2 linked regions of the Alligator mississippiensis genome follow. The protein of the gene in region 2 interacts with the protein of the main gene of each other region in a pairwise test. Links are inferred from orthologs where the notes say so. Each region holds a gene or a part of one and is shown on either strand. Other genes may lie near its edges.

The links. The genes of interacting proteins can lie anywhere in the genome.
Region 1: the proteins of GAD2 (region 2) and LDAF1 interact in binary tests that used the Homo sapiens proteins (3 or more experiments, as listed by UniProt). The two-hybrid records come from large-scale screens. The link is inferred for Alligator mississippiensis from reciprocal best matches to the Homo sapiens genes GAD2 and LDAF1.

What each region holds. Positions count from the first base shown.
Region 1 is NC_081836.1:46,231,487-46,242,587, reverse strand, and holds the start of LDAF1 (lipid droplet assembly factor 1), read right to left. Parts: upstream 4,487-11,101; 5' UTR 4,396-4,486; intron 3,917-4,395; exon of another isoform or gene 3,798-3,916; intron 3,556-3,797; 5' UTR 3,487-3,555; coding exon 3,415-3,486; intron 2,261-3,414; coding exon 2,092-2,260; intron 1,152-2,091; coding exon 1,013-1,151; intron 1-1,012. UniProt on the Homo sapiens protein: Plays an important role in the formation of lipid droplets (LD) which are storage organelles at the center of lipid and energy homeostasis. In association with BSCL2/seipin, defines the sites of LD formation in the endoplasmic reticulum.
Region 2 is NC_081828.1:188,876,966-188,887,891, forward strand, and holds the start of GAD2 (glutamate decarboxylase 2), read left to right. Parts: upstream 1-5,940; 5' UTR 5,941-6,014; coding exon 6,015-6,090; intron 6,091-6,481; coding exon 6,482-6,541; intron 6,542-6,741; coding exon 6,742-6,891; intron 6,892-7,757; coding exon 7,758-7,991; intron 7,992-10,926. Other genes in the region: MYO3A (myosin-IIIa), read left to right, coding at 1,093-1,236, 3,189-3,303. UniProt on the Homo sapiens protein: Catalyzes the production of GABA.

The DNA.
Region 1 (11,101 bases), on a different chromosome or scaffold from region 2:
TAATCAGGGTAGAAACAGATGTCGCTTTGTGCAGCCATACAAATATTTACAGTGGCACAAAGAGACAGCAAACAGGCATCCATCATGCCATAAGGCAGCAGCAATTAAAGGCAGTAATAAATTGTACTATTTATTACAGCCGACATCGATTTGCTTTATGACAGGAGAGTGCAGACAGCCCAAAGCAGCCTGTGCTCTCCCACTGCCCTGGGCAGGCACTTCCTGGGCTTGAAGAGCCTGATCCTGTATACCCTGCCAATTCCTGCACAGAATTAGGCCCCTCCAGACCAGGGAGCACCTACTTAATTTTACCCACTTTCAGACACGTGCCCTTGGCAATCTCCATGGCGAGGCTCTGGAAATAGGAACCTCAACTTCCGTTGCTTCTACAGACTTGCCTAGAGAGTGCTGGGGGTATGTTTCTGCAAGCAGGGAAAGCCGGGACACACTGATGCAGTCCCAGGGCTGGGGCTGCCAATTAGCTGATTGGCAATCCTGTCCCTGGGACTTCACCAGAGTATGGAACTTGCTCTGCTGGGGGCCAGGGGTTGAAACTGCGAATCAGCTAATTGGAAGCCCAGCCCTGGGACTGTACTGGAGTGTCCTGGCTTAATGTACCCCTGACAATCTTTGGTAACCCCAGAGATTGCTGGGGGCATGTCTTTACAAGCAGGGCAAGATCAAGAGGTGGGAAAACGGGTGTTGTGTGCTTCACCCAGTAAAGCAGATCAGCTGTGCTGGGACATAGCCACTTCACTGGTGATGTCTATTTCTAGACTTACACAAGACACACTTGATAACTATTTCTTCCTCCTTTTCCTTACAAAGAAAACAGGGTCTGAAGGTCCCAATATTAAGTCTTATCAGGGTAAACAGAAATACTGTAATATTCAAAGCTGATGTTTATTATTACTCCAAGCAACAAATTATCCACTGCTTAACATACAAGGTAGTATGTGCAACTACAGTTAAAATGTGACATTATTGTACAGAGTGAAATGTTGATACTTACTTTGGAGTGTACCAGTAGTTGATCAGAGTTGTAAACGCTACATAACAAATACTCATTACTCCAGAAACTGCCAAGGAAAGCAGCCCTAGGCCACCCAGCACACAAAGAAGAGCTATTCCACCTGCTGATATTACAACACCTAGCAAGGAAGAACCAATTTGTTACTTGCATGAATACTGTACATACTATTGTACATCAAGTACATATTGAAAACAAAGAAAGTATTCGCTGCAGGTCTACTGCAATCCTAAATTCAGACCAGCAGTAATTTAAAAGTGCACATTAGTTCTGTTCACAATGCAGGTCAAAGACCCAAGGTCCCCAGTTGTATGACATCCCCTAAAGGAGAGGCAGTCTCCCTACAGAGTTTTTCTCTGATCAGTCTTGAGGAGTGATGTTTGTTTTTAGCAGGCTTTGTTCAGGTCTCCAGGGATCGAAGGAGGCTAAGAGCTTCAGCACAGAGGCTTAGCATCTCTGGGACTCAGACATGAATCCTCTAAATCTGCATTGGCCTGGACCTCCCTAGCTGTCCTTCTCCACCATGGAAAGGTACTACAGCCATTACAGCCATGTGCATTCCTCTTACACTAGATGCTGGCCTCTTATTTGTTCTCCCAGGTGGATCCTCTGGCCCACAGTGACCTTTCCTTGGATTAGGGTGAAGTAAATGATTAGGCCCACATAGCTGGTGGAAGACAGGGTATGTGGAGGTATACTTCAGAAGAGAAGTTTCAGTACATGCTATCTGTTATCATCTAAAAGGAAAAATCCCACACAACATGCTCTTCGTAAATCTCCTTGCAGGCCAGAGATGAAAGCTATCCAAGGCAAAGATAAGAGGTTTAACAGCATCCGCATTGGGATTAACTGTACCCAAGACAGGGAAATCCTATTTCCTTTTTTAATTAGATTATTATTCCAGCATTAAGACTTTTGTTGATGCTGAAAGCTGAGAACTTCAGAAAAAATCTTTTAAATTCAGTTGGATCAAGAGCTGGGCATGAGAGAGGGGAGAGAAAGGAAAATCCTGAAAATAAAAAAAGGCTTAAAAGGGGAGGAAAAGAAAATAAATAAAATACCTTCCATGATTATAACTCCAATACAGGCCATGACAGCTGTTGCAACCACAAACATCAGAAAGAATGCAACAGGAATAGCAGAAACTGCAATAAACACCAACAGCGACAAGGCAACAAAAGGATGATCATCTAAGTATTGGCCAATTCGAGAGTTCATAAAAGCAACAACCTGTAGGGGATTGAAAGAAGAAAAGTTGAATTAGATTAGGTGTTTGCTTCATAAATCTTTTATGATCTTAAACTACTTTAATGAAATTTTGGGTACAATAATTGTGTAAGTACACAAGTGATTAATTCGTGTTATAGGCAATGGCTGCACAATGTCAGAAGCACGGAGAACCGTCTGGCTTGGTACATATTTGCACTGTACTCACCATCCTTGTATACGAATGCCTTACAAATTCTATCACGAGTGGCATATCAAGGAAATAGTTTTGCAGCACATGTCAAAGCAGATGTGGAGATATATAATCTATTTTGCTAAATCAAATGTATTTTAGTACACCTAAATTTAGAAGCTAGAACATAATGGTACTTGAAAACAAAGGGGGAAAAATCAATGTGGAAGCAGGAGTCCTCACTAATAGCATAAGATAGTTTACAAAAGATATTCTGTTAAATATATGTGATACAGATGAACCATGCTATAAATAACAGTAAAAAACTAACAGTAAATGAAGTATGCAAGTCTATAGCGTATGGGGTTTTTACCAACTGTAATTTTTAATCCAGTGATTAACATTTGTTTCAATGTTGAAAGTCATATAACAGGCCAGGTACTAAGGTCACACTAAAACAGGTGCAAAAACAATTTGTTTTCAGGGACTATAGGTTAGCAGCAGATCCATAAATTGCCCTCCCTTGAACATTAAGGACTCCACAGATGGATCTACACTACAAAGTTGTATTGCTTTAATTATACTTATTATCTTAATTATATTTATATAGTTAAAGAGATACAACACGTCTTAAAACTTCATACTACTATATCTGAATTCCAAATTTATGCTTCAAGTTTCCTTGTATGTAAAATGGGGATAAATGTTTACTGCCTGTTGTGAGCCATTCAGATGTTACTTTAATGAATCCCATAGAAATGCTTTTAAATTAAAAATACGTTATGGTGGCTTGTTCCTCCCCCATGCCCTCTTAAAAAAAAAGAAAGAAAAAGAGGGGATCTAATTTTCTCATGATGAAAAATTCAAATGTGACTTTTGTAATTATATCCTTATCATAAAATGAGGTGTGACATCCAAGCAAAGACAGCTGGAGAAGCATTATGTAAACACACTCTATCAAATAATAATCGAATCCGAAACCCACATTGGAGTTGCTGTGGATGGATTTCATCATGAAGCGCCACTGCTTCTGCAGCTCTTGCATTTCTTTTGACATGTTGGAGCCTTCAGGGTTGTTCTTGAACCTTCTTCTGGATGATCAGTGCCAGCTTGGCCATTCGACCTCCTTAACAATTGAAGTGAAGTTACTGACAGGCTTGTGTATAATTAGAGGAACAGTATTTTCTTATTTAAATCAGAGGAACGAGAAAGACGCTGAGCATGGATTTCAGCGCGTCCTATAAAATCTAGGCCACATATTACAAAACATTTCAATCCAGTCATTCCAGTTCCTCAACACCTCACTTACATTGCCCTCAAGTACAAAAAAATTACATTTTTCCCCCTGAATATAAACATGCTTCTTGCCTTCTCAGTTTATCGGTTCAATCTTGTAATTATTCATAAAAAAAAAAAAAAAAAAGTGCCCAGTTCCCCAAGGTCCAAAAATTTAAGGGGGGCAGCATCAACTTGAAGACCACTTTTCGTCCTGAAGTCTGACCTGCGGGCGCTTCAAGCAGCGCGCTTACAGGGAACAGACCAGACACCTCATGTCGCAGCTGTGGGCCCTGGCGCTACAATCAGGCTCCCAGCGCGGGTTTCCCTTTTGCTCAGGGGCTGCAACAAGGAGGACAGAGACAATGGAGGCGGGAGGAGGGACCCTGCAGGCCGCTTCAAGGACCTAAAACTGCGTTTATGGCTCGTGTTAAACCACACCCAGCGCCTGCACCCCCGCCCCGCCTGTCCGCACGGACACGAGCCCCGCGCCCACCGCGCCAAGCGGCCGGGCCCATCCAGGCCGGGGCGGGGGGTGGAGGCGGGCCCGCCCCGAGCCGGTTTAGTCGCGCGAGTCGCCCGTGCGCTGCCCGCGTCCCCCGCGGGAGGAGGCCCCAGGCCCCGCGAGGAGGAGGCGGAGCGGCGGCCGCCGCCATCCCCCCCGCTCCCCGCGGGCAGCGCCGGCTCCTACCTCGGCGCCGGGCCGGGACTGCTGCAGCCGGCGGCGGCCTGGGCAAGGCTGAGGGAGACGCGGCCTCCTCCCGCTTCCGCCTCCGCCTCCGCCTCCGCCTGCCCGCGCCGGCTGCTGCGCGCGGGGGAGCGGGCGGCTCCGGCCCGGCAGGGGCGCCCCGCGCGCCCATGGCCCGGCGTGCGACGGGCTCGGCCCCGCCCTGGTGTTGCCCCTTGGCTTGTCCCCATCCCCCACTGGGCCCTGGCACCAGCCTGTGCCTCTCCCTGCCGCCCGGGTTGGAGGTGCCCATCCTTGCCCCGAGCCGCAGGGTGCGTCCTGCCTGCAGCACTTGGCCCAGGGCAGGTGCCTCTGGGATGTGTTGTACAGCGCTTGGGAGGATGGCAGCTCTGGCAAGTGGGCTGGAGAGAAGCAGGTCGATAGGTCTGGAGGGGAGGATCCCTGCGGTGGGCTATGGCTTCGTCCTGCTGTACACACTGGGGTGAAGGAAAGCCGCCCGCTCCGTTGCGGGGGACACCGGACGGCGCCCTGCCAAACAGAAGTGCACGGAGTAACCCCGCTCAACCAGTCGAAACTCAGGAGTCGGGTTCCCAGAGCAGCATAAAGCGATGAGACTTTTAACAACGAACGCAGTCAGGATTTATTTTAGTAGTACTTTGGTTGTTGAGCCTTTAGGGAGTGCTGATCATGTCGAGTGTTTATCTACAGCACTTAAGAGTACAACGTTATTTAAAAAAAAAAAAAAGTTTAGATTCCCACCTTTTTATAAAGCACCAGGATATTGTAATGCTGATATAGCGTGGGAAGTTTTGGCTACGGGAGTTTGTATGCTATTGTAAGAACAGACTGGCTTGTACCGTAAATCAATTGTTGTTTGCTGCTGGGTGTCCACGGGATTGCTTGCTGAGTTACGTGTCCTGCAGCTACAGGAGTTTCCGCCTTTGGAACAGGAGGGTGTGAGAACTCATTCTTCGGCTGCTGTGAATTGATGGCAGCGAATTGGTGGTTGTGGCAGTGATTCTCAGCTACGGCATAGGGACACCCAGGGATCCTTTGAAGGATGTAGATGTGAGGAGATAAACAGGTAAGCACAGGATCAGGCACAGTCCCTGCTTGGCTGTTCCCCTGGCCTTGCTGCCCAGCCCCTTGGCAAGGAGGTAAAGCACTGTAATAAATAAGTTAGCTTTTACAACAGGGTGCTGTTCACAAAATATATGGAGGGGCGCTCTAAAAAGGTTGAGAACCACTAAGTTATGATATATAGCAGCAGTTCCCAAACTGACAGATTGCGCACCACCAATTTAAAATGATACAACCTTAAGTACCACCAGCAAATTTTTGTCATGTAAAATAATTATAATAAATCTGTTAACATGTACCACTGACAGGTTGTCTGTAGACCACTGGTGGTACGCATACCACAGATTGGGAACTGCTGGTATACAGCATATTGAAATCGTAGTTACTAGGTGGCTAAAGATCATTAAACCGCTGTCGCGTGCAAAACTCGAACCGCTTCAGGTAGATTAGCTCCTTTTGCTGTACAGAAATGTGATGTTGATGAGACTACCTCAAGAAACTAGAACATTTTTTTCTCATGCTTACTTTTGATCAGCCTTTTTAATTGGTGCCACCCAATTAAATATTAATGGTTTCATTAGTTTTTTAAAAAAGGGGCAATGGAAATAGACTAGTGTGTGTGGGGGGTAGATTAAAAAAAATCTTCAGTAGTGTTTAACAGGATGCTCTGATGCTTGTTTGTGTTAAGTGCAGGCGAACGGGACAATGAAACAGATGCTCTGCTATCTGCAACTGATCAGTTTAGTTTAATTTTCCAAGTTGAACGACATGCAAAAGTAAGTAATAACCCAGATGGCAAAAAGTAAACTTGCTGTTTGAAATTATTTCCATTTTGTGCCTTGATCCTGCTCCACTGTGGATTGGGGCATTAATAATTGAGTGGATTATTAGTAACATAAGTAAAGGCCTTTTTATGTACAGTTCTTTAAAGATGCTCTCTGCATGTTGGAAAAAAACAGTGGATGTTGTGTGTTTAATTTGGATTGCAACAGTCTCGTTAAGGTAAAACAAAGCTTTATAAATCATTTCATTTGGAGGTAAATGGAACCTCTGCCCTTAGAGGCATCTACTGTGTGGTATTTCACGAGTGAAAACATTTGTCCTTCTGGTGAATTTGTAGGATGAGTCTCCAACTCAGCTCAGATTTTTGTCCATTGGTTCTCTTGGGCTCTGGTCCCAAAGATACAGAGCAAGAAACACCCAGAGAGAGGAAAGCTAACAGTAAGAATCTCAGTAAACAGTATAATATAGTCTCGCTTGGGATACTAGAGTATATACAATTCTGATTTTCAGCTTTGGTTTTCCATTTTTATTTGTTTATTTTTGGATATTTTTAAAGCAAGGAACAAAATCTCAATCAGTGAAATTGACTGTCTTCACAGGCCCTGATATAACCCAAGGATAATGGCACAGTAAACTGTAATGACCCTATTGTGTTTAGATTGATATGGAAACTTGAAATGGTAGATTATTTCCAAAAAAGTGAAGTAACTGGTGTTGAGGGTCTCATACATCAAGATGAGACGTATTTTACAAGTATTCACAATTGTTCTTTTTGCTAGAAATCCTTTTTTCCAAAAGAAACAACTGCTTTTTGCTTTTGCAAAACAATAAAAAATAGTTTCTGTAATTTATTTAACTTTCATAGACATTAGGGCTGGAAGGGACTTTGCGGGATCATCAGGTCCAGCCCCCTGGCCCAGGGGCAGGAAGTCAGCTGGGGTCAGATCACCTTAGCTAGATAAGCATCCAAACTTTAAATCTTTAAACCTCTTGGTTGCTGTATGCAGAGGAATAATAGTTAAAATAATTATGTCTTAATTGAGATTGTCCTGTTTCCAGCATTAACCTGAGTTCTCTGTGCTGAAGTTAACTCCCCTCTACTTAGGAAAGCAGAACTAAAAGTAGTCATGCAGCAAAACAAACACCTGAGTTGCAAAGTGTGACTGGATTAAAAGTAAAGTGTTTGCACTAGCCATCCTGTGTTGTCCTCACAGAAAAGTTGAATTGCCACTACCATGAGCTGCAGCCTTGCCTGAGCTTCATCTATGCCAGGTAAGGTAACTTGAGTTCAAAGCCCTGGGTAAGATGAGCTAGACATCTCTGTGTGTGCATGGGAGTTGGGCCAGTAAAAACAAGCCTGTTACCCAGTGTTAGCAGCCTTTTGCCCGAATACAAAAAACAGTATGAACCCAGCTTCCTAGACATAGGTACTATGAAGAGGCGGTTAAAAAGAAAAGATGGCTTGATGCGCAAAGGCCTCCTCCTACAAACCATCCTCATTCTCCAAATTCATCTACAGGGAGGTCATAAAAGAGAGTCTCAGTCCTCAGGGTAAATTGAACTGTGGTCAATACAAAAGCAAAGGGGGAATGCACCACCTTTGTGCTATTGATTCTGCTTCATGTTGGTGGCTGATTCAGCCCTTGTAAATTTGAGCAACCAAAGGGGACATCCCAGCAGTTGGAGGTGGCTGGAATACAGCTACACTCCAGTAATCCACCATTTAGCTTGGTCACATTCAGATAATGGGAGTGGGGGGCAAGGCAAGTGATACAGAACTGCTTTGCTAGCTCTGCTTCCTGCGGATTCCCCAGCTGAATAAAATGGTTGTGCCTCCTTTGGACCAGCAGTTCAAAGAGGTTGTAGCACAAGGGAGAGGAAGGTCGCTGAAGTTTTTACATCCTGATTGAGCATCTTTTTACAAGATATATTCTAGTTCAGCCAGAAGCCATCAGCTTGATGCATGCAGAAATTACTGAGGGGAATTTTTTTCAGGGTATCAGAGTAGTTGATTATAATTGTTTCTTTTAGCCTCAAAGTTTAAGAGTCAGGAAGACTTTGCTGTCAGTTTGACTAATGTAAAATGTTAGGGGAAAAAGAGCAAGGACAGTCAACCGGAATCAGTTGTTTAATGGGACCCTGGCTTAGACATAGTCATTTAATGTATTCAGACAGAAATACAGATGACTTGCATGCCAAGGTGAACTAAAAAAAATCAATCTTTATTTTTCAAAAGAGCATTCCCATTCAGAATAATTGTTCTAATGGTCACTTTTGCAGGGTGCAAAAAGAGATTGAAAGGTAGACAGCAAAGAGTTTGTGTGGGACGTCTCCCTTAGGATAGTTGAACTGCATGGGCAAGACTGGAGAGCAGGTACAGGGTGACAGCAACAGAATTTCGACTAGGCGCAGACATTCAAAAACCTGGAGCCTGAATTGATTCAATCTTTGCAGGTTAGTCTAACCTGGCTAGATTGAACCAGTTTGTGACTGAAAAGATATTCCCTCTGGATTGAGGAAATGCAGGCACATGCCTGAAGTCACTCAGGGCACGAGCTGGAGGGCGCAAGAGCAGCGTTTCCCAAGCGGTGTAATGCGGCATGTGCTGTCAGGCAAGTCCAGGTGTGCCGCAGCATTTGGGGCTGAAGCCACGCCCCCTGCCTGTCTAGAGCTATTCCCCCCCCTCCCCCGCCTGCTGCTGCTGTGGACATGGACAGACTGGGAGCATAGCTCCAGCCCAGAATGCCATCTGGGTGGCCGTGTGTCACCCACATGTCGCTGTCTGGCTGGCTGCACGCCACGCCCCCACTGTTGGTGTCTGGATGGCTGTGCATTTCCCCCTCCTGGTCCGTGTCTGGCTGGCTACGTGCCCTCTCCCCACTCTGTGTCCGGTGTGCCACGGTGCTTTTTTATTTAGGTAAGTGTGCCGTGGGGCATAAAAGGTTGGGAAACACTGCACTAGAGTGCATCCTTGGCTTCAGGGAAGGTGTGCTGGAGGGGCGTGGCCAGCCCTGGTAGTAGGCTGGAGTGAACTGGCCAGGGAGGGGATTTACTTCATAGTATCATAGTAGCTAGGGTCAGGAGGGACCTGAACAGATCATCTAGCCTGACCCCCTGCCACAGGCAGGAATGAATGCTGGGTTCACAAGACCCCAGACAGATGATCATCCAACCTCCTCTTGAATATGCCCAAGGTAGGGGTGAGGACCACCTCCCTGGGAAGTTGATTCCAGATTTTGGCCACCCTAACTGTAAAATATTGCCTTCTGATCTCCAACCTAAACCTGTTCTCCATCAGCTTATGACCATTGTTCCTTGTCACCCCGGGTGGTGCTGGGGAGAAAAGAGCTCTGCCTGTTCGCTGTTGATCTCCCCTGATGAGCTTGTAGGCAGCCACCAGGTCCCCCTTCAGCCTCCTCTTGCTGAGGCTGAACAGGTTCAGGTCCTTCAGTCTCTCCTCGTAGGGCCTGTCCTGCTGCCCTCTCACCAAGCGGGTGGCCCTCCTCTGAACCCTCTCCAGGCTGGCCACATCCCTTTTGAAGTGCGGTGCCCAGTACTGGACAAAGTACTCCAACTGCAGGCTGACCAAAGTCACATAGAGGGGGAGTATCACCTCTCTGGACTGGCTTGAGATGCACCTTTGGATGCATGACAAGGTATGGCTGGCACCTTTGGATGCATGACAAGGTATGGCTAGCCTTGCTGGCTGCGGTTTGGCATTGGCAGCTCATGTTCATCTTGGAGTCAATAATGACTCCGAGATCCCTTTCCGCCTCTGTGCTTTCAAGAAGGGAACTCCCCAGCCTGTATGTATGCTGTGGATTCCTTTTCCCAAGGTGCAGCACCCTGCATTTGTCTATGTTGAACCCCATCCTATTCTTGTCTGCCCACTTTGGTAGTCTGTCTAAATCTGTTTGCAGCCTCTCTCTCCCTTCAAGCGTGTCCACCTTGCCCCACATCTTAGTGTCATCAGCAAACTTGGACAGCGTGCTTTCCACCCCCTCGTCCAAGTCGCTGATGAAGATGTTAAACAGTGCGGGCCCGAGGACCGAGCCCTGGGGTGTACCCCACTGCTCACGTCTCACCAGGTTGAGTACAACTCGTCCACCACTACTCTCTGGGTGCGCTCCATCAGCCAATTTTTTACCCATCTAACTGTGCAGGCATCAATGCCGCAGTCACTTAATTTATTAATGAGGATGGGGTGAGAGACAGTGTCAAAGGCCTTCTTAAAGTCTAGAAAGACTATGTCCACAGTAACACCATCATCCAAGAATTTAGTTACTTGGTCGTAAAAGGCAATCAGGTTGGTCTGGCAGGATCTGCCTTTGGTGAAGCCATGCTGATTGCCCCTGAGCATGATCTCCCCTGCAGGCCCCCCACAGATATGCTCCTTGATGATCCTCTCCAAGATCTTCCCGAGCACCAAGGTGAGGTTTACAGGCCTATAATTACTTGGGTCCTCCTTCCTCCCCTTCTTAAAAATTGGGACCACATTAGCCAGTTTCCAATCCCCCGGCACCTGGCCAGATGATCACGAATGCTCTTACAGCCGGGCCAAAGGCTCCGCGATGACCCCTGCCAGCTCTCTCAACACCCTTGGGTGGAGGGCATCTGGACCTGCAGATTTAAAAATGTCTAGCCCTTCCAGAAGATCCCTAACTACATCTGCACTGACTGAAGACTTGATAGAGCTATCCCCAAGATTGTCCCTACCTCTGGTAGGTGGGATATCCTGGTCCCTGTTTAGGAAAACAGAGGCAAAGAAACTGTTAAAAGTATCAGCTTTCTTGTCTGGCTTCCTCCCTTTTATTGTCTGGCTTCCTCCCTTTCTTATCTGGCTTCC
Region 2 (10,926 bases):
AATTAAAGTCTCTATATTACATTGCAAATCTCTTTAGAAATCCAGCTCTCAAGTGGTTTTCTGCTTTCTCAGCCATGGCAGTCTGAAAGAGTTAAATATACAGATGATGATTATCTCCTTATAACTTCTGGATCAGGATAATCCATTCATTCATGACTAAGCCATAGTCCTCCGGGGAGCGTCATAAATCTACTGATATCCCTAAATGCTAGTGATTGACTCCGAATCTCTTGAATTAGCTATAGACTTGCTTACTAATTTGCCACCTAAAGTACATTTTGTAGACAGAACAGAAATGCCTGAAAATCAGGGATTACAAAGACAGTTGTAATACAGTCTTAATTACATGAATTAGAATGGCATCACTGAAAAATACCCAGTAATTTTAGATCTTTAAATGTTAGCGCTGGCCTGAGGTACACAGGTGCGTACAAGCATACATCTTACAAAACCATCTACAACCTATGCAGGTCCAGGGAGAGTAACTTATGTTAAAAAGGACTTGGTGTGCAAATATATATTTGCTAAACCAAATAAGAGATGGAGGTAGGTAGTCATCTTAGTCTGAAGTCAGGCAGGGTCTATTTGCACCTGAAAAACTAACTACATAAGATCGGAATTCATACAGCATCTGATGAAGTGAGCTCAAATTCATGAAAGATTGTGTTCTACCTATATCTTAGTCTATAAGGTGCATATGTGCCCTGCCTTCTTTCAGTAAAAGATATCACCCACAAAAATCTTTGCCTCTCAAATATTTTGAAATGATAAACTTAGGCATTTTATAATAGTTACATTCCAGGGACCATATTTGCTGTGCTTCTGTGTATATGTATGTGTAGATATATGCATATGTACATGCACATATATGTCTACCTATACATAAGTGCATATGTATGTGCACATATACAAACAAGCACAACAAATCAGGTTTTGTGTGTGTGTATTATATATTTTTCCAATACTGTCAGCAGGTAAAAAGTCCTTAGCTCTTAACTGGTAAAATAAATAGCAACCTTTGTTTTTCCGTATTTTTGCTGAGAAAATGTTGAAAAATACAGCTGATAGCTTAGTCCATTTATTGATTGACAGTTTGGACAAGATGCTTGATAGAGAAGATTTATACTACCAAGGAATTTCATCTATTGATGCTGTATCAAAGAATAGTTATACTGGCCGAAGAGAAAAGAGACAACCGGCTGAGCTCAGGAGTTCAACTATAATGGCTAGTGAAGGGTAAGTAAACAGAAAATAATTGTTGGTAAAATAAAGGTTTTTTTAATTCTGCTTAGAAAATGATGATACATATTTATTTGGATACATTTTCATATAAGACAAAACTATCTGCATTTAAAAGCTGTAAAACAACTCATTTTCATGGAATCTTCTACAATAATAATTCTAGCAATTAGGAAATTTTATGCTTAGCTGAAAATTTCCTTTCTTCGATTTTCAGTCTGTCTGAATTTTGGAACAGAACTCTGCCCAGTCAGTCTACGGTGCACATTTGTCTTACTCGAAAACCTGCCAGTTTTGTTCTGCTTCCACAGCTCCCAATAAGGTGAACACACCTCCTTGCTGTAGAGCCTCAGATCTCAAACTTGCATCAAACTAAAGAAAAACTTGAAAGTTAAATTTCTGGCTCAGTCAGGCTTTAAATTATATGGATATTTGCCAAAATTTTGACTGACTTTCAGAGCTGAGACACCGGATTCTTGGCTTCCTTTTTCCCTATTTTACAAAAACCACGTGCCTTAATAACCTCAGCTTGATGTGAGCATGACGCAGAGAGAAAAGGAAGAAGAAACCTGAAGACAAAACCTAAGATGTGTCTATGTAGAGTTCATAGATAGTGACCTCTGTTGGTCAGAAAAAAATTCTCTTTCACACCCACAAATGTATGCAGATACACAAATATGTATGTGAACAAACGTGAAATATAATCAATAGTAGAAGGATTAAAGAAAATTCTAACGAAACAAACCTATTTATGTAATCTAGAGAGACTGCCTGGTTTAAAAACAAATATATTCAAAACAGTAGTAAAAATGTTTGCAAAGGTGCCTTAAATTCTTTCTTTAATCCTTCTGTTACAAATGATTTTTCATGTTGAATACAGGAGCACCACAATTAGCTTTTTAGAAAGATTTGATGAAAGCATGGAATTTTTTAAAAAGAATCCATGTTATAGTAGCAGTAAGTCACAATATGGTTACAGGCTTAGGAAAATTTTGCATTTCTTGGGTCATTAACTTCACCTAACCTTTGACTTTTTGTTCAAAATATTTCTTGGATATAGTTGGGGGCTTGATTTTGCTTATGTTTAAATCAATGAGCACAGTGGAAGCAGAAACGTGCTTTATAGCATGTTTTCCTCTGGCTGCCATCTTCAGTAGCATATTGAAATAACTGGGGTAATTCTAGACATACCCTGATGCAAGTGAGAGCAGATTTTATCCCCTTGTTACAAGCTTATTACTTTAGCATTAGGTAGAATTCAACATTCAGTGACCATTTCAGCGGAGCTTCTTGTGTGGTTTAATCAATTAGGATATGCCTGTGGAAAAATGAACCCTGTTATTGTTTGCTGGCAGTTTGAATTCAGCAGCAGTTCCCTTCATGCTGCTTCCCAGATATTTCAGTGGTTATTCTGAAATAAGATATGTTTCAAAGCAATCAAGTTTGTTTTGAATCACGTTACAGAGAAATACCTGGTTTCACTTCATATGTTGAGACTTAATGCAACTTTCCATTTGGAAAAAAATAAAATTAGATGGTTCTGTCTGTGATCTTTGCAGTTTTGAGTCTGAAACAATAAAGACTTCAGCATGTATAAAAATTGGGATAGCTCAATGATGTCAGCGAAGCCAGACCAGTTTCCAGCACCTGAGAATCTGGTCCAGTATCTATCCAACAAGAATCGATCCCAAGTTTTGCATGCCGTAACATTTTTATTATGTCTCTACTGATTCCTACTTTATGGAAAAAACATGTTTTCCTGTAATGTTTCACTGTACTGTCTATAATGTGTTGGCTCTGAGGTGCCTCTTTTATTCTACAGAGGGGAAGAGGCCTGGGAAAGGCAGCAGCTTTTGCTGAGGGTGGAAGTTAAGCAGTCGATTAACAGTGTTTGCTGAAGCAAATGTTTTTACTTTAATTTCTAAAGCACTTCTGCACTTAATCCTTAGGTCAAGGGTTGCAGAGAGCCCCCTGGAAGAGAGCAAAAATGAAGATAATCCCTATGACTACAGAAAATTGCTGCGGAAAACCTCTCAGCGCCGGCGCCTTATCCAGCAATTCTAGTTGCTGCTGCCATTTGGCTTTTATTAGCATAATCTTTTTTATGATTTTATACCATATGCTTTCCTTTTTTTTTGTATGGCTATTTCCAATATTTCGCATTTACAGTGTTTTTTTCATTTGAATACAAACTATTTTAATTTGTGGTCCCACCTCCTGTTGAAGGGACACTGTCAAGTTAAAAAAAAAACATATTTAAAAAATAATCCACAGAGTTTCCTTTGCTGATGTTCTTAATCCATTTCAAGATTATAAAACAGGAAAGAATGTTTAAAAAGTAGTTTACTTTCTTTAGCATAGATTGTTTTCTACTTTTGCATTTCTTTCATCTTTAAACTATGTAAATAGACCAGTTAATAACCAGTAAATAGACCAGTCCTTTCCTACTCAGGTTCCCACCCTGACAGAAAATTAATTTAACAAACAGAAGAATGAATTAGCTGCATTGGATTTTTAATTGCATGTAACCATTCGTTTTGGTTTATGCCTTACAATGCCTAAATTATAGAGTAAATCTTCATATAAATTATTCATGGCACAGTATATCCTAAACTTATTTCCTTATCGACTATGTACTGTAAGGCTCTGGGGTGGGGTTAGAGGTCAATATAGTGTGTGTAATCTTTATCTGGGAAATGTTTATATACAGGACAGGACATCTAAGCACAACCTTCTCTCCTGCCCCCTCAGCTCTGTGGATAAACTCCTGAATTTTGTTTGCTTTGTTCTCCTTTCTAAATGGGTATTGTTTTTTGTTCAGGCATTTTAATTTCTGGGTGATGGAGAAATGTCGAGGGAAATAAAAATTGGTCTGTTGCTGCCTCGAAGGTAAAGACCAATTGCAATCAGTTCCACCAGGGTGCAAAGGGAATAGCCACTTCAAAAAAAAAAAAAAAATCCACCCAAAAACCTATTTTACAAGAGGCCTGGCAGAATGGATGGAGATAATTAGTGCATTCACACCCAGGTGGAATTCCAGGTCTGATAATTGCACTCTCCCAGCTGTAAAGGGAGAAAGGCAGACTTCATCAAGCAAACAGTCCCCAGAGGGTGAGGGCCAAATCCCGCTCCCTCGCTCAAGCCAGTCGCCCGGACTGCAGTGACTGCCAGCGGCGTCCAGTTCTGCACGAAGCCCTTTAAAGGGAGACACCGCCGCCCTGGCCCCGCGCGCAGCCAGCCCGGCCGCGCCGCTCGCTGCTCGGGGCAGAGCCCTGCCTGCGGCCGCCTCTCACTCGCGGCAGAGGCGGGTTTGCTCTCGCCGCTCTTCCTCGGGTGTCAGTCTGGAAATCTCTTCCTTCCTCTCTAGCAGTAACGCGGCGGAGTAAATAAAGAAGGACGCGAGTTAATGACACGCCTGTCTGTGTCTGAATTACCCTGGCACAGGTGTAATCCCGGGGGGGAGAAGGAGGGCAGCGATAAGCGGGCAGCTGGTGCTGCTGTGAGCGGGGCGCGGGGAGGGACGCTGCCAGCGCCGGCCCGGCTCCAGGGAGCGGAGCGAGGCCTTTCGCGGAGCCTCTGCCGTCTAGCTTCTGCCCGGCTGCCTCTGCTCCCGCGCACGCCGCCCCGGGCCGCGCCGAGGTGCTCCAGGACACGGGCTGGCTCCGACCGGACGGCGCCGCCAGCCCGAGCCCGGCCCCAGCGTGGGCCAGGCCAGGCGGGCCCGTCGCGCCCCGGGCAGGGAGGCTGGGGCAGGTTGGGAGGCGCGGGCGAAGGAAGCGCACGAAGGCCGCCCGCGGCGCGTGCCAGCACCTCCCGCTCCCCCGCCCCGGGCAGCCCCGCGCGGGAAGCGCCGTCGAGACGCCGGGGCCGGCTCATGGCTGCAAGGGGCCCTGCGCGGGCGCGGCCCCCGGGTGCCTTCCTGCCGGAGCCCTCCTGCGCCTCCCCTCGCGCCGGGCCGGGCCGGGCCGGGCCGGGCCGGGGGCGGGCGGCGGCCGAAGCCCGCGAGCAACCGGGAGTCCGGGGCCCGGTAGCCTGCGTGGCGCTGCCCCGGCCTCGCGGGGCCGACGGGGGAGGCGCCGTGGGGGCCACAACCAGGCTCTCGGGGCCGCGACTGCGGCTGTGGCCTCCCCGCGCTATGAACCGACTCCACCGCAGCCCCTGACGGGGGTCGCCCGCCCGCCGGCACTGCCCGCTGCTGTGTGCCGGGGGCGGGGCCGGGGGCGGGGCTGCTCCCCGCCCCCCCTGCCTGCCGGCGTCGAGGCCGGACCTCCTCCTCCCTTCCCCGCCCCCCCCCCACGCGAGGCGAGGACGTCACTCGGGCACTGCTGTGCCTTCAGTGCCGAGTCCCGCTGTCCTGCGAGGCGGGAGTGACGGGACTCACGTGATCCCGCCACAGACCCCCCTCTCCCCCCGCCCCCGTCGGTCGGTCCCGGCCGCGCTCGAGCCGCCTCCCTCGAGCTTCCTCCCTTCCCGCCCCCGAGGGCCCCAGGGGCTGCCGGGCTGCACGAGCGGCTGCGGAGCGGGACGGATCCCGGAGCACCAGCCTCCTCCGCCCCCTGGAAGGCGCCTCCGAGGGCGGCACGTCCAGCAGCCCCAGGCCCGGCGGGCAGTCGTGCCCGGGCCGCGGCGCCGCGCGGGATAAAGAGGCAGCGGCGCCGCTCGTGTCACTGCCGCTCAGCACCATGGAGAGTGCCTAGCGCCGCCCCGCCCCGCCCCGCCCCGCTCAGCCCTGCTCAGCCCCGTGCCGCGCCGCGGCTGCTCGCGCTCCCGCACGGATGGCGACGCCGAGCTCCGGCTTCTGGTCCTTCGGGGCCGAGGAGGGCTCCGGGGACCCCGAGAACCCGAGCACAGGTAGGGGGCGGCGGGGCCGCGGAGCCCGTGGACGCCTTCCAGCCCGGCCGACGGGAAACTTCCCCGGCGCGGGGATCCGAGCCTTCCCGCTCGCCTCGCGCCTCGCCGCGCACCGGGGCCGCCCAGGTGCAGCTGGACGGTGCCTCGGGCTTCTCCACGACCAGCAGGAGCCGCGCCCGCCTGGCCACGAGTCCCCCCGAGGGGCTTGTCCCTGCGGGCGGGGGGGGGGGTCTTCCCCAGGCGTGGGGGGCAAGGGGAGGGGAAAGGCCTCGAGGCCGCTGCTGGGCACGTTGCCTTTCTTTGTTCTCCGGGAGCTGCAGCCCCGGGCGGGCCGGACGCACCCGAACAGCCCGCGCCCCCGCCGCGCCGCTTCATTTCTCTTGTTTTGCAGCCAGAGCCTGGTGCCAGGCGGCCCAGAAGTTCACAGGAGGAATCGGAACCAAACTCTGTGGTAAGGAAGGAGCTCGCTGTGGCCAGTAGCGGCTAGTCCAAAAAAACCCCAAAATATGTAGGCATTAAAAAGAGAGAAACTGTCGCAGGCCGCGGGACCGGAGAGCCCCTGCGCGCGGGCACAAAGGGAGCAGCGGGGCGCGCGATCGGGGCTGCGTTTGACACACGACATTTCGGCTTCCTCTTTTGTCTCCTCGTTAGCTTTGCTCTATGGGGATGCGGAAAAGCCCATGGAAACCGGTGCAAAGGAGGACCCGGGCTCGGAGGAGAAGCGGCCGGCCTGCACCTGCAACACCAAGCCCTGCAGCTGCCCCAAAGCGGATGTTAATTATGCATTTTTACACTCAACAGGTACCGACCGTCCCCTCGCGCGGGTGCTCCGCGGGGCTAATCCCGGCTGGCCGGGCCAGGAGCAGAGGCCGGCGGAGGGGCTGGCAGGTCCCGGAGCCGCCGGGCTACCGCAGCGCAGCCCCCGGGCTCGGGCGGGCTCTGCACGATCTCGTCCCCGCGCTTAGAGCAGATGGCGCTGCCCGGGTCTGTGAAGAGGAAACATTTTATAACATCAGGATTGAAAAAAAATACCTGCACAGCTTCGCCCCGCGGGCTGCTCTGCCCAAGGACGCAGGCAATAGCGACCTTTTCCTAGAGCGACACCAAGCCCCCGGAATATGATCGCTATTTTTATGCTTTTTTTTTTTTTTTTAATTCGGGAAATTCTCGCCAACGAGTGCATGTCTAGCGGGCCCCTCTGCTCCGGCACGTCCCCCAGCCCCGGGTGGGGATGTGGTACCGAGACCTATTCCCACGCGAGCCGCGGGCTCCGGCCCACCGGCGCGATGAGCTCGTTGCAGGGCTGCAGCCGCCCCGCGCGACAAACAGCTCAGAGCTGACACCGGGCACGAGCCTTAACTAAACGCAGGAGCTGCACTGGTTCATCCCGTTGAAACCCTCCAGTAACGAAAAGGCAGTAAACGATCAACAAGTTCTTTGCCAGCCACCACATTTGACCAGCCCCGAAGAAGGGATTTTATTGTAATGCATGCGTGGGGCTCGCATTTCAGCCCGTCACTGTCAGTGCAGTCCGGGCACACGTCTCAAGGTGAAATGAGAAATGGCAGCGGGCTCGCCTTCCCCGCCGCAGCTGCAGGAGCTCCCACCGGGGCCCGATCCCTCTCCCACCCAGCGCCGCCGCTGACATTTCTCTCTTCCGCTTCCAGATCTCCTGCCCGCCTGCCACGGGGAGGTGGCGACGATGTCTTTCCTACAAGACGTCGTGGACATTTTGCTTCAGTACGTGGCGAAAAGTTTTGACCGATCAACCAAAGTGATTGATTTCCATTACCCAAACGAGCTGCTCCAGGAATACAACTGGGAGCTGGCGGATCAACCGCAGACCTTGGAAGAAATTTTGTTGAACTGCAGAACGACGCTGAAATATGCCATTAAAACAGGTAATGGAGCGGCCGAGATTTCCTCCTCCTGCCTTGACAAACGTTACTTTCTGCCTCGTGCCGAGCCTGAAGCCCGCGCGGTGCCGTGTGAGTGTCCGGCCGTGTCTGGGGGCGAGAGGCTGGCACCGCCGCGACGGGGAGGGCGATCCCGGCGGCTCCGGGGAGCGTCCTCCGGCCCCCGGCGCGCACAGACCCGCTGTGGCTCCGCGCCCGCCCGGGGCCGATCCCGGGCCGCGCAGCCCCTACAAGGACAGGGCTGGGCTCGTGCAGGGCGCGGGACCCGCGGCAGGATCCGGCGCCCTGCAGCCGCCCGGGGCCCTGCGCTCCGTGTCCCGGCTGCGGGCGCGGGGAAGGGCTCGCCGGAGCCCGGGGGCAGGCGGCCGAGCCGCGTGGGGCGTCCCCGGCCTCGCCTCTGCCCCTCTCCGCCCCACGCTGGAGGAACTGGATTGTGACCCCATGGCCAGTCCCTGGACCATGGGGATGGGGAGATGTGGACCGCGTTTCTCTCCTCTACCCCAAGCTTAGTTCAGCGTAGAAAGTCCATGCCCAGCCCCGCCGCGGGGCACAGACCGGCTCCCCCCGCCCAGCTCGGGCCCAGCGCCGCAGACAAGCCCCCGCCCGCAAGGGCACCGGACCCCGGGCTCAGACCTTGGCCGAGCTGCGCTGCAGCCCCCGGGCCGAGCCCGTGTGGGGATCGGAGCCTGGCGGAGCAGCAGAGACTGTTTGCTCCGCTGGGGTCCGTTTCCTGCAGTGGGAGCTGCCCCGGTCTCCTGCCGCCCGGCTAAGTGATGACCCCACGTCCAGGCTGCCCAGGATGCTGCCCGCCGGAGCCGCGCCCTGAAACATCTGCAGCCAGTGGAGACAGCTGTGAAAACAGCTGCATTTTGCTGCTGGGGGAGTCCAGAAGCCGGCTGAGAAGTTGCTCTGACAGAGGAGAAGGGCTTTTAATGGAGCAGAGGAACTTGGAAGCGATTCCTCACACCCAAATAAACGCTTTTATTTAGGTTCCCATTTCCCGGGATTCTCTCCCCTTCTGATGTCTGGGCTTCTCTAATTCTTTGCTCTCCGGGTCATAGATCTTTAAAGTTCAAGTTGAGTTGCAGGACTGAGATTGGGCGGATAAGTCACATGGTTTGGGTTTTTTTTTCCCACTGCTCCTTTATTGGAGAAGTCGGTCAGCACCGGTGTATCTGGTGAGAGGGGCAAAGCGAGCTTTGAAATCCACTATCTGCAAATGGTTTGCAATGGAGATGAATCGCAAGAATTTAAATTGTATGGGAACTGAAATGAGCAAAGGAAGAACTGGTGTTTGTCCAGCATTGCTTCCAGTCAGTGTTTTGTTTTTTGGGGGGGTTGTTTTCAGGGGGTTGTTTTGGGGGGGTTTTGGGGGGGTGTTTTTTGCGGGGGGGTTGGTTTTTTTTTGGTTTTGCTAATTAGCAAGTAGGGAATAAAAGGAGGGCAAAGATATGGACAAAGCAAGTGACTATCAGTGGATTTTTTTCTCCATTATTTGCCCAGTTCTACTCATTACTTTCCTGCCAAAGCCACTGGGGTTACTGGGGCCACAATTTTAGTATTTCGGAGTATGGAAAGACTGCAAAGAAATGGAAGAGAATACTCAAACAGAAAGGTTGCTGTCAAATGGTGGGTGTCCTAGTCTGTGGCTTTATTACTGCCTCAGACACTGGCTCCTTGTGTTAGGAGGGGCATATCACTGACAACAGATTGTCTGGCTGCAAGAATAAGATAGCACTAGCAGTTACTTATTTCAGGATTGTATTTTGCAGCTTGAACAGTGTTTGAAAAATGCTTTGAGCTCTTCTGCAGATGGATAAACGTATCCAAATTAGTATATATATTCTTTTTAGAATGAGCACATCAACAGACAGTAGTAATCTACTTTCCATGCTCCCCAGATCAGCCTTTAAGTCACCCCCTTCGGTTATTATCATGCAAAGCTGATTGGCACACACCATTGCCATTATTTTTCTAAATGCTGAAGAGAGCTTTGCTTCCATAACCCAGGAGGTTTCAGAGGTTTACATAAGACTAGAATTGACCTTGGTTATTCAGCAGGGTGAAATAACCCTACACTGCACCTTGACCACTGCAAGAGAGGGATATTCCAAGCACATCCTACCCACCCACACCCACTGGCATAACCAAACCCACAAAATGCAGTAGTGACGTTGTTCTGGGATGTCCCTGGCACTTACTATTGAGACTTCTGTCTTTAACATGCTTAAGAGAGGCTGCAAGGGACACCTCTAGAGCAGGATATGGTCTAGTAAAAATGACTCCATTCATCGGTGATTAAAGTCAAACGTGGAATTATGTTTCGCTACTTTACATTTGGTAGACCCCAGTTTTGAAGGGGAGTGAATTCTGTCTGAGGAAATCTCCACAAGTTCATTGTGCACGTATAAGGCTCTTGGTTTTGAGGACAGTGTGCCTGAGTGAACACAGGGTAGATCTGAGAGAGAATCACCAGCATCATCTCTCTGACAGACAACCCCTGGGAAATTCCCCAGGCCAAAAAATGTCAACTGCATATCTTAGGAACAACCTGCTCCATATTATCCAGCTTCCCCACCACCACTCCACCCCAAGCTGAACAGTGATTTGGCTAAGCAACCGAGGTAATGCTGACAGCAAGGTTCTTCTGGAGTTGTGTGCTATGGCAGATAAAGCAGCCCCGAGGCTGCCATTCCCCAGAATTTCTCCCTGAGTTCCAAGCTGGAATGCCTGGAGTTTCCCAGACCACCCATGGGTCCTGTGGAGGGAAGGGTTGATTTGACACTTCATTTTTTCTAAACCTGCCTGAGAAATCTATTCAGCCAGGTTGGAACTGGCTTGCTGGCAAAGGGCCTGAGCTGGCTCTTGAATTCTTGAATTGTTGTAGTGTCCCCGGGGCTGAAGCAGTATGGCCATGTGA